Linked DNA regions of Sus scrofa. The protein of the gene in region 2 binds, or shares a complex with, the protein of the main gene of each other region. Links are inferred from orthologs where the notes say so. Each region holds a gene or a part of one and is shown on either strand. Other genes may lie near its edges.

Region 1 (3,647 bases), on a different chromosome or scaffold from region 2:
GAAGGGGGATAGAAATCATTTGGGGTCCCTACCTGACCAGTGCAGCTCTCCCACAGTTATTGATATAGCGTTATGCTTTTTCAGAGTCCCAGTGTTACTATGGAAAAGACAGGACAAGTCTTATTACCTCCATTTCACAGACAGGCAAACTGAGGTTCCGAGATGTTAAGTGACTTGCCCAAGGTCACGCAGCTACTCGATGGCCGGGGCAAAATGAAAACCCTGACCATCCACATGCACCTTGTGATATTCTGGCTCTTTCTCTGGGGCCCAAATAAAGAGCAATGTGAAGTTGACCAACACCTTCCTTTTTTCAGTACAGAAGGCGATAAAGGTGACCGTCACTTTTGTTTGCTTGCAGTATCCTGCAGGTGCCACCCACAAACTGGCTTTGCTGCCCCCACTTTCCACGTAGAAACTGAGGTCTCTGAGAAGGAAGGGGTCAGGCCCATCCTGCGGGAGTGAAACCAGGAAGGGAACTCTGGGCCTTCCTGATGTCCAGTCCAGAGCCCTGGCCACCCTCACCCCTGCAGGAGGTTACAGCGCCCTCCTTGGCCTGCAAGCTGTCACAGCAGGCACGCCTGGAGAGAGAACAGGACCACCCCATCATCTGCCTTGAGCTGGGGAACAGATGTGCAAATGCTCTAAAGGGGTCTGTCACCTGGAGGGCCACTGTTTTGGTTTCAGATTTGATTTTTTTTTTTTTTAACTTTTAAGCCATTCGTGGCTTTTGATGACTGATGTGAACATTTCGATGACTTTCTTCCTAAAATTAAACCAAAGTGATTTTCAAAACCAATAACCAGCCTTTGAGGACACCCACTTCGGGGTCTGTGGGAAGACAGAGAGCCGGAGCGATCCGTAGGGGAAATCTGTCCTCCGACGAGACCCTCCCAGATAAAGGGGTGATGAGACCACACGGCCACTTCCCAAACCCTCTCTGGGCCTCCAGAATCCCCAACAGGTTCACCAAGCAGCAGGGGAAGGAAGTATCCTGCAATGAAGATGAAAATCCCATCTGCTGGGGCCCTTAAACGAGATCATCACATATGGGTGGAACTCCCTCCACGGGGCCCCTGCAGGAAAGGGACCCCCTTCTCTCACCACGGGTCACCCTGCCAAGGACGGGGGAGATCAGCATGGCTCGGCTCCGTGCCAGGCTGCCCTGGGTCTGCGGGCCAAGAGCAATTAGCCCGGAAGGCGGGCTCTTGGCAAGTCCGAACGCTGCGGCCGGACAGGAGGGGCCCAAGTGGCCGGAGCCTCCGGGCCTCCAGGGGCTTCTTCAGGAGCCGAAGGACAGAAATAACCCGGGTCTTTGTTGTAAGCAGCCGGCCACGGAGATGGAGCTGATTTCAGGGAAGCCGAGCATGCGCCAGGGTCCCGCTCACCGAGACCTGCCCTTTGGGCAAATGAGTTTTCCAGAAACGTGTCAGTTATTGTGTGTCGCTGCTGTGGCCCCTGCCGCAGAGAGGCAAAGGCAACCCGGTCTGCTCCAGCCCCCGGGGCTGACTTCTAACACAGACTTCCTGGAACAGCTCTTTCTTCTCGAAACACTCGTTCAAAAGGAGAGTTTGGCATCTAGTGGGGAGCGTAGGAGACCAGGGCAGCCCTCGGGCTGAGGGTTCTGTGTGACTCTCATCCTGGTCATAAGCTATCACATCACCCCAGTTCTTTGTCGAGGGGACCCTCCTTTCTCCCCGATCCTGAAATTTCCAGAATCAGTTCTCAGTGGGCAATGACACACACACACACACACACACGATGCAGAGGGAAGGAATTACTCGGGAAAGGAATTCGCAGTGTCACATCAATACTGCAGAGTTTCTCAGCGGCCGTGCTTGGTACCGTCATCCAGACTCTTGACCTGGCAGCCCTTTCACTCACCTTCCTGGTTCCTGAGTCCCAGTCGGGGAAGCTCCAGACCCAGGCTGAGTGGAAGGCTGAGTTTTGGCGTCTTCCTCTGCCACAGGCTCCCTCTCCTCTCCTCAAGGAGGCCCCAGCTCCAAGGGGCTGGTCCCTGGCAAAGCTGCACGATGGACAGCAAATACTGACCGGCTCCAGCGGGGCCTCTGAATTATCTCAACATTTCTACCTGCCCCTCCCTGCTGCCCCCTCCCTCCCCAGCCCCATCCAGAGACCACCAGGCTGTGGACACCCCTGGACATCCAAGGGGGGCCCAAAAAGCAGCTCTTCCTCTTCACAGAGACCAAGGAGCAAGGAAGGATTTCAGGGCTCCTTCGTCTAGATGGCCTCCGGGCTCCGAGTCTAGAAGTTTCCAGGGAGGCTTGTAATAAATAAAAACTTCTCCACAGCCCTTTGCTCCTGGGCTGAGTTCAGGATGAAGAGACTAAGCTGGGGGCAGGGAGGCTGGGCGAAGATATCTCGGAACACAATAGATAGAAACACCAAACTGCACATGAGGGACAGATGGGTCGTCACAGGGTGCCCAGTGGTTCTTTGCGACGGGGACCAGTGCGAGCAACGCAGGGCTGGGGTGAGGGCGAGGGGCCTCCATGGGGCTGCGGCTGGGCTCGTTCTTCGAAAGTTTCCCATCTTTCTGGCAGAAACAAGGGGGTGCTGGCTGAGTACGGAGACCCGTGTGTAGGAGGTGAGCGGACCCCTCACCCTCTTGCTTCCATGTGTCCACGCCCTCTGTGGTCACTGATGTTCCTAACAGTTGGTCTGTCTGGATATATGGGAGTAGGGGCTCGATCTGGTTTGAACCGGGCTCAGGTTCAGCCTCTCCGGCAGCAAGTCACATCCCGTGACCTGGGGCCCTAGGCCTGGCAGCCGAAGGCCGAGGCTTTTTCTTTGAGCAGTTCCCAGCATAAGTGGCAGCTCCAGCTCCCTGTAAGAAACGAGATGGTGTTACTGGCTGCCCCTCTCCAACCCCTGGGCCCTAAACCCTTTGCAAGCCCTCTTTTATTGGACTTGCATGATTCAGAGAGGAGGCCCAGGCCTGAAAACGTTCTGAAGTCTGTCCCTCAGCTGAGAAAACAGTAAGTGCTCGGAGATGGTCAGCTGACTGCTGGAAGGACCAGCCCTCTTGGCTGTGCCTTTTAACCAGCATCCCTGGGTCTCCCCTTTCCCCTAGAAGCTCACACCTCCCCTCATCTCAGCCGTATGTCTGGGAATCATCTCTCTGGCCCTCAAGTTGAAATCTCTGGTTGAAGCTGTGCCTCAGTTTCTTCATCTGTAGCATGGTAGTGGTCGCACTGACCTCGTAGGGTTGTGATGATTAAATGAGACAAGACATGTCAAGCCCTTAGCACGAGGCCTGCACAGTAGCGAGGGCTCGGTAAGTGGTGGAAGTAGCTGTTGTTTTTGTCAACCCCATCATCCTTACCTTCTGGGGGTTCAGCCACTGGAGGATTTAAACAGTACATGTGATAGCCGCGGTCACAGTCATCGCAGAAGAGCAGCTGGTCCTAGTGGAACGCACAGAAGGTGGAGAGGAGGAAAGACTGAGTTATTCAGAACCAACATCTGCCCACGCCTCCAGCCATATTTTCATCATCCATCTTCCAGGCCCCATTTGGGGTCGTCACTGTCCCCTGAACATGCTTTGTGCTTTGCCCACATCTGGAATCCCCCCTCTATCTCCCGAACTATACGCATCCTACCCCCACATAAGAGTTCTCAAATCA
Region 2 (3,647 bases):
TCTGAACTTTGGTGGTAAGCATGGCAACGGAAGGATCCAGCTGCCAGAGTTCTTGCACCCTCTCTAGGAGCATGGAAAGAGTCTAGGACTGGATGCCAACATCCCTGGATACCAGTTCAGGGCAAGGTAGCTTTTTTTTTTTTTTTTTTTTTTTTTTTGCTTTTTAGGGCCACACCCTTGGCATATGGAAGTTCCCAGGCTAGGGGTCGAATCAGAGCTATGGCTGCAGGCCTATGCCACAGCCACAGCCACAGCAACATGGGATCTGAGCCACATCTGCGACCTACACCACAGCTCATGGCAACACTGGATCCTTAACCCACTGAGAGAGGCCAGAGATCGAACCCACATCCTCATGGATCCTAGTTGGGTTCGTTAACCACTGAGCCACAAAGGGAGCTCGTGATCAAGCATCTTAAGCCAACTCTTTGTTCTTCTGTGTTTCTTTACCTGCACATAAAGTGTTAAAATTTAACGATTCACCATCTGAAGCCTGTCCTTTGTATTATGGAAATTTCCAAATATAATCAAAAACAGAGAAAATAACATAATTTCTCAGAGAACCAACACTAAGCAACAAAAATTAACTCATGATGACTCTGGTTTCATTGCTATCCTTCTCCCACCCTCTCACTGCAATCCCAAACTGGGCTGTCCTAAGCAAATTCCAGACATAATCTTTCATTCGTAAGTATTTTGATAAGTATTTCCAGGGGAACGAATTGAACAGGCTTTGCACAAATAATTTCTTTTTGTTTGTTTGTTTTCGTCTTTTGTCTTTTTAGAGCCGCACCTACAAGTATATGGAGGTTCCCAGGCTAGGGGTCAAATAGGAGCTGTGGCCTCTGGCCTTCGTCACAGCCACGGCAATGCGGGATCCCAGCTGTGTCTGTGACTTAAACCAAAGTTTATGGCAACGCCAGATCTTTAACCCACTGAGCAAGACCAGGGATCGAACCTCTGGTTGCTAGTTGGGTTTGTTAACCACTGAGCCACAACAAGAACTCCAAAAATAACTTCTTATACTTAAAAAGTGTTACAAACATTGCTGTTGATAGGAAAGGTCCAATTAGAGGGACGTTGGTCTCAGACTGGCACTGCAGGATTGACTGGGGACAAGTCATTGAGCATCTGAGGGCTGATATTGCTGAGCCATGAAACAGACACAGTAATTCCCACTTCTACTTCTGATTAAGCAGCATTATGAGGTTAAATGGAATAAAAACTCTAATGTACCCTGGAAGATTTCAAGAGAAATCTTCACATATCCCAAGAAAAGGACATCTAACAAACATTTTCTTCACATGATACAGAATAAAAGGGACACACTGCAAAATCTTTAAGAAGCAGCTCCATTCCAGAGAAGCATAGGGTTTTCAGCCAGAGGTGTCACTCTAGCATTTGACTGCATGACAGTGGCTTCATCACTCCGTTTAGCTGCTGTCTGCCCCATGGATGAGCGTGAATCTCAAATGCTATTATAACTCTAATTGCTTTTGGCTATGGTTGATTTCACTTGAAGAAAGAGTGATAAAAAACTTCAGTTTCTCTGTTATCTGTATATTCCATCATTTAATTGCAAAAATTAATGATTTGCAAATGCCTAATCATTAGTGTCAAACCAATCTGTTACTGAAGTTCTAATTTAGTTTCACTTCAGTTGAATCAGACAAATTTGACTGCTTACTGCTCAAATTACTATAAAATGGTCTCCCCAGCTAGTTAGCGATCTCTTGGACAGTCTCCTCCCTCCCCCAAAAAGGAGAGGAAATCAGGAGGAGATGGTAAGATTTACTAGTACCTGGCCACAGAGCCTTTGAAAATATGGTGTTTACTCTCTGAAATCCAAAAAAAAAAAAAATGAATGACAACACAATGCAAACCGTAATACTATCAAGGAAGACTGTGTCACTTAGAATTTTCCAGGGACATAATTATGGGTTAAGGCTAATGATTTTATCTTCATCCAATACTCAGGCATTATGTTCCAGAAAGAATGTACAGGTCTCCTATCAAAAGATATCACACACAGTTTTCTAAAACCCACAGTGTGCTCTGAGGTCCAATTCCAAAAATAAATGGTCAATAAAACCAAATATGCGGGTCAGTGATATAAGCCGATCCCTTCTAGGTTTATACATCTACTAGAAAATAAAAGTGGAAATGAAGTGATTCATGAACAGCCTTTGACAGTAACGGGACTATAACCAAAAGAGCAACATTTCAAGATTAACTTAAAAGTCACTTTTTACACTGTTAGAGAAAAATTCTTGCCACTTAAAAAAAAAAAAAAAAAAAAAAGCACCCAAGGCTTCAAAAAAAGAGAACTTCTTACATTCTAGGATACAACTTAATGAGATCTTCATTCAAAACAACTTCTGTCATTAGTCTCCAAGAGGTAATCCTTTAAAAAAAAAAAAAAAGTCGTTTCTATCCTTCCAGGTCTGCTTATCGAAACTCCTGCAATATACAGCACCTGCCTTTATGTGAGAAGCTATCATCTGAACAGCAGTGCCACCCTAGGACATGGAAATACTATACTCATCAGCAGTAGCCCTAGATTTGTGGCACTGCATTGTCTACGAAAGAGAAGATATTTTTACTCCACCCTGTGAAGTTCAAAGGAATGAATTAACATGTTTGATAAGCAGCTTCTACTTTCTCCTTCAAATATGGCATGTTTAACAATCTCAGTATAGACAGGTCGGCGGGGGGGGGGGGGATTTTCCTGGATTCCTGTAGGCAAGCCCCTTACCATCAATCTCCTCATTCTCTCTTTTTCAATCCGCTCGGTCTCTTTCTTCTGTTCCCTTTCGGTGTTGGCATGCCAAGTGGCCACTGCCTTGGAAAGCTTCTGGATCTTCCCTGCCACAGATCGATGATACTCCTTAAAATCTTTTGCATGTTGCAAAATACTGTTCAGGTATTCCTAAAGGATTCAGAGCAGGGAGAAGGAATGCTTAAAACCCAGTTTCCAATATCATATAAGGTTTCAACATAGTCCAGGAAAACTCTCAGTGTGGACCAAAAAGCGAGGGAAAACTAAAACCTATTTTGAGATAGATACCATGGTATGTCTCCACAGCTTAGGTGTGGACTACACATGGTAGAATAGATGATTTCTCAAAGTTTTTTAGTTTTGGTTTGTTTTTTGTCTTTTTAGGGCTGCTCCCATGCATACAGAGGTTCCTAGGCTAGGGGCTGAATCAGAGCTGCAGCTGTCATCCTACTCCACAGCCACAGCAACGCCAGATTCAAGGTGGCACATCTGCAACCTAGGCCACAGCTCACGGCAACACTGGATCTTTAACCCACTGAGCAGGACCAGGGATTGAACCCATGTAGCGTTCATTACTGCTGAGCCACAACTCCTCAAAGCTTGTTTTGATGCCAGCCTATGGAAGAGAAGCCTCCCAGGCCTTGAAGGCATGGGTACATGACAATGGAAAGATCAAAGATGGAGAGGAACCCACAAAATGGTGACGACAAAATTTAAAGCAAATAACATTCAAATAAACCTTGGGGAGAGGAGTCCCTCCAGTGAGAATCATGTTATAGAAGTAGTGTTTCTTCTCCTCTAACTTAAATACTTCAGAATTGTGACTCAAAATAAGTTTTATAGGAAGGTAAAATCACCAGACATAATT
Region 3 (3,647 bases), on a different chromosome or scaffold from region 2:
GGGGCACGGACCTGGTAGTCCAGCATGAGGAGCAGCGTGCAGCGCACGCTCAGGTCCCCCGGCCTCTTCACCTGGAACCCGTCCGTCTCCTGAGTTGTGGGCGTCCGGTGCCACTGTCCCGGAGAGGAGAACTGGGTCACCTCACAGGCCCACCGGGGCTCCCTGATCCCAGGCTGCGGCCGGTGGGACCGTGGTCTGCAGGGGGGGAGGCTGTTCAAGGGCAGAAGGGCTCTGGGTCTCACCTCCACCAGGTGGTTGTCAGGGCCATAGAGGTCTTTGTCCAGCTCAATGACCAAACTCTTGAAGAAGGACGAGAACTTCCGCTTCTGCTTGCTGGGCTGTGGGAGAGGAACGGACCGTGGGGACGGAACAGGGAGCGCGGGGGTGGAGCGCGTTGGGAGTGGGGGGGGCTGGTCGGGGAGGGCAGCACAGTTAGCAGCAGGCCTCGGCACCAGAGGTCTCTCCAGACCCCCCACCCCTGGCCAGGGCTGTCACCCTAACCCTCCGGGCAAACGTCTGGGCCTGGCCTCAGCTCAGCCCCATACCCACCCCAGGACACCTGGAGAGACCTGGGCCAGGACGTACGTCATCCAGGAGCTTCCCCTCCACCCGCAGCTCCCAGGAGGCTATGCTGCCATCCGAATCCTCTGCATCAGGCTTCGCAGGGTTAAAAGTATTGGAGATATAAAGACGTAGCTTCCGCTTTTGCTGTAGAAATAAAGAGTGTAGTACAGAGGGAACACTGGGGGCTCCCCGTCCCCCCACGCCCCGTGCCAGGGCCAGCCCGCTTCTCTGCTCTGGGCATAGGACTCAGCGCCCTCTTCCCGCCCCCGAACCAAGACACCTTCATTGGCCTCTTCAGAGCCTCCTGGATGTCCACCCGCTTCCGCATGATGGTTTGATCCAGTTTCCTCTCAAACGCCAGGAGGTCCATGTAAGCCTGGGACTCTGGGACCAGCTCTCGGATCTGGAAGAAGAGCAAGGCAGGGAACCAGGGGCTCAGCCAATCTTGCAGGTGTCAGATGGTCCCAGAACAGAGTGGCGGGGAGCGCCTGGTTCGGGGGTGGAAGTTTGAGAGGCCGGGAGACCTCTCCCCAGGGGCTTGACACGTAGGGATAAAAACTGCTTCTCCCGCTAGAAAGAGTCGTGCATTTCATCGTGTGGGGCACAAGCCGGAGAGACCACAGAGCCCAGCAAGGGCTCCACCTCTTCATCCTGTCCTTTCACTGGTCCTCCGGCCTCTGGGCTCCCCTCGGGTCCTGGGCTCCCTGAGACAGGGGAAGTCGCTGCTTGCCTCTACCCTGGCACCTCACCCAGTTGCTCCACCTGATGTCTCAAGCACGCTAAGTCCATACCCAACTCAGCCTGGGTCCTCTTATGATGCCCGGGTCTCCTGGCCAGCTTCTGTTCCCTTCACTCCCCTTGCCAGCCTCTGATCCCTGAGCTCTCATCCCCTCTTTGTCTCATGCCTTTATGTCTTCACACCGCTGGCATTCAATCCACTGCACCCCAGACCCAGTATCCTGCCCCCTATGGCTCGGCTTCTTCCCTTCGCCCCACCCCCTCCCTCTGGCCTGGAGAGCCTCACTTCTTAATTAGCTTTTTAAACAAAAAGTGAAAGTGATTGTGAGGCAGAAGATCTGCTCCTGAGGGGGGAGGGGAGGAGACCGGGGGGGGGGGGGGGGGGGAGGGGAGGGGGAAGGAGGGCGGAGCAGCAAAGGGTGGGGGGTGGCTGGGGGCTGCTGTGAAAGGCACTCACCCTTTGAGGGAGGATTTTGTCAGCCATCTTCCTCCTCTTGGCACTGTACATTTTTTAAAGAAAAAACCACGTTACCATGGCGACAGATCTGGGAGTAACGAGGCCACCTGCTAAATTATCCCGACATCTCAGCCCGCCTGGCTGGGGTTCCCACAGCCTGCCCAAGGGGCTACGATGGTGGTGTGCAGCACTGGTGCTCTGTCCTCTCATAGGGAGCAGAGGTGACCCCGTCCTTTCTCTAGCCCGGGAGCCCCTCTTCTGCTCCACCACATCCGAGGGGCCAGAGAAATTAGACTCAGAAGGGGCTGGTGGTAGGGGAGCTGCAGAAGTGCTTGGGGGCAGCTGGGGAGGGGGGAGGTCAGAGGAGAAGGAGGTTGGATTCTGAGGACTTTCCTTTTCTGCTAAGCAGGGGTGCACAGTCCAAGGTGGCCTGAGCTCAGAGGGAGGGGAGCCGGCCCCCTGCCCCATCCCTGGAGCAGGAAGGGATGGTGTAAAGCTGGTGAGGACTTGCATCTCTGTCACCCTGGGCTTTGAAGGGGACCCTGATGGGCAGGGGGTGCCCAGGGACACACCCATGGGTATGCAGAGGGAGTGGGTTTGGGTGTCTCCTGTCGGGTGTAGCTGTGGGCTGCACCTGCAGTAGCGGCTGGGACTTGGTCACCTCTTGATCCACTAGCTGCTCCTGACTCCCAAAAGCACCTCAGAAAATCCTTGGCGAGTAGAAATTAGAACCCAGCCTAGAGGATGGCTGCATACTGCCCCCGTGTGGTGTTCTCCACCCCTGCCCCTACCTGTCCCCAAATCAATTCTAAGGCCGGACAAGCAGCTTTCATTAAAGGTCTAATTTGTCCTGAACACATTAGGTAAAACTCTTCATTTATACGAGCTAAATCAGGGACTTTTTTTTACTGTATAAAAGAACGACTCACTCTGCAACAGAACTCATCATAAGATTCCTATAGAGGGTGAATTTTCCTCGATAAGTAAAAAATATTTAATAATGAGGTAAAATCCATATTGTGCCTTTTATAGGACTCCATCTGGTGTGCAAAGGGAAGCATGTGTGTTTGGCTTAATAGTGAAACCCAGAGGGGTATCTCTCTTGCCAGGCACCAGCAGGGGCTTTTGGGGTGCCACCAGCTGGCTCAGACAAGGAAACAGGCTGGTCCTTGGTGGTTTGGGGGCAGAGGTGGTCCAGAGGGCAGATTATGGCACCTCTCCAACGTTCGCGTGCCTAAGAATCACCTGAGAGCACCCCCGGGCAGAGACTGCCCATCCAAAGGGCACATTCCCCGGCTCCACCCTTAATTCAGATGAAGAAGATCTGGAGTGGGCTTTTCAACAGTCAGGCCGGGGACTCTGAGGAAGGCGCATTGGACAACCACACCAAGAAACGGTCTCTAAAGCTCTGCCCTCAGTCAGCCCCGCCTCCACCCCACAGCCTGAAGCATCACCCAGAGCCTGGGGACAAGGGGTGGAGAGAGGCACAGAGCAGGTGACAAGGAGGAAGGGCGTGACGGCCGCAGCCTGTCTCTACGGTGGGCACACAAAGGAATCGGACCAGTGCCCCCTCAGCCCACCTCCCGAGAGGGCACCCCACCCAGGACGCCTGTCCCCTGCCGATCACTCCTCCCCCCGCTTCCAATCCGGCTCCCCGCCCACCCCTTCCCTGCGGGTCCGGCGGCCCGCCCCCTCGGCGCTGGGTCCCACTTACCTGCGGCTCCGCGCGGGGGCGGTGGGCACCGGCTGGCCCTGGCTCTGGGCCTGGCTCTGGCCGGGCGGGGGCGCTGCTCGCTTGCGGGCGGGCTCCATGCCCGCGGGGGCCAGGCCGGGTCGTACGGCGGGGCTGCCCATGTACGGGGAGCCCGGGGGGCCCATGGGCGCCCCC

What was found.
Region 1: SMARCA2 (region 2) and DPF3 share a complex: the UniProt entries of both Homo sapiens proteins name them as parts of the BAF complex. The link is inferred for Sus scrofa from reciprocal best matches to the Homo sapiens genes SMARCA2 and DPF3.
Region 3: SMARCA2 (region 2) and SMARCD3 share a complex: the UniProt entries of both Homo sapiens proteins name them as parts of the BAF complex. The link is inferred for Sus scrofa from reciprocal best matches to the Homo sapiens genes SMARCA2 and SMARCD3.

The regions. Positions count from the first base shown.
Region 1 is NC_010449.5:95,981,753-95,985,399, forward strand, and holds part of DPF3 (zinc finger protein DPF3), read right to left. Parts: intron 3,429-3,647; coding exon 3,347-3,428; intron 2,849-3,346; coding exon 2,778-2,848; 3' UTR 1-2,777. UniProt on the Homo sapiens protein: Belongs to the neuron-specific chromatin remodeling complex (nBAF complex).
Region 2 is NC_010443.5:219,770,296-219,773,942, forward strand, and holds part of SMARCA2 (probable global transcription activator SNF2L2), read right to left. Parts: intron 2,930-3,647; coding exon 2,756-2,929; intron 1-2,755. UniProt on the Homo sapiens protein: ATPase involved in transcriptional activation and repression of select genes by chromatin remodeling (alteration of DNA-nucleosome topology).
Region 3 is NC_010460.4:5,982,421-5,986,067, reverse strand, and holds part of SMARCD3 (SWI/SNF-related matrix-associated actin-dependent regulator of chromatin subfamily D member 3), read right to left. Parts: coding exon 3,474-3,647; intron 1,803-3,473; coding exon 1,760-1,802; intron 1,549-1,759; exon of another isoform or gene 1,452-1,548; coding exon of another isoform or gene 1,356-1,451; intron 968-1,355; coding exon 845-967; intron 709-844; coding exon 586-708; coding exon of another isoform or gene 550-585; intron 339-549; coding exon 243-338; intron 114-242; coding exon 12-113; intron 1-11. UniProt on the Homo sapiens protein: Involved in transcriptional activation and repression of select genes by chromatin remodeling (alteration of DNA-nucleosome topology).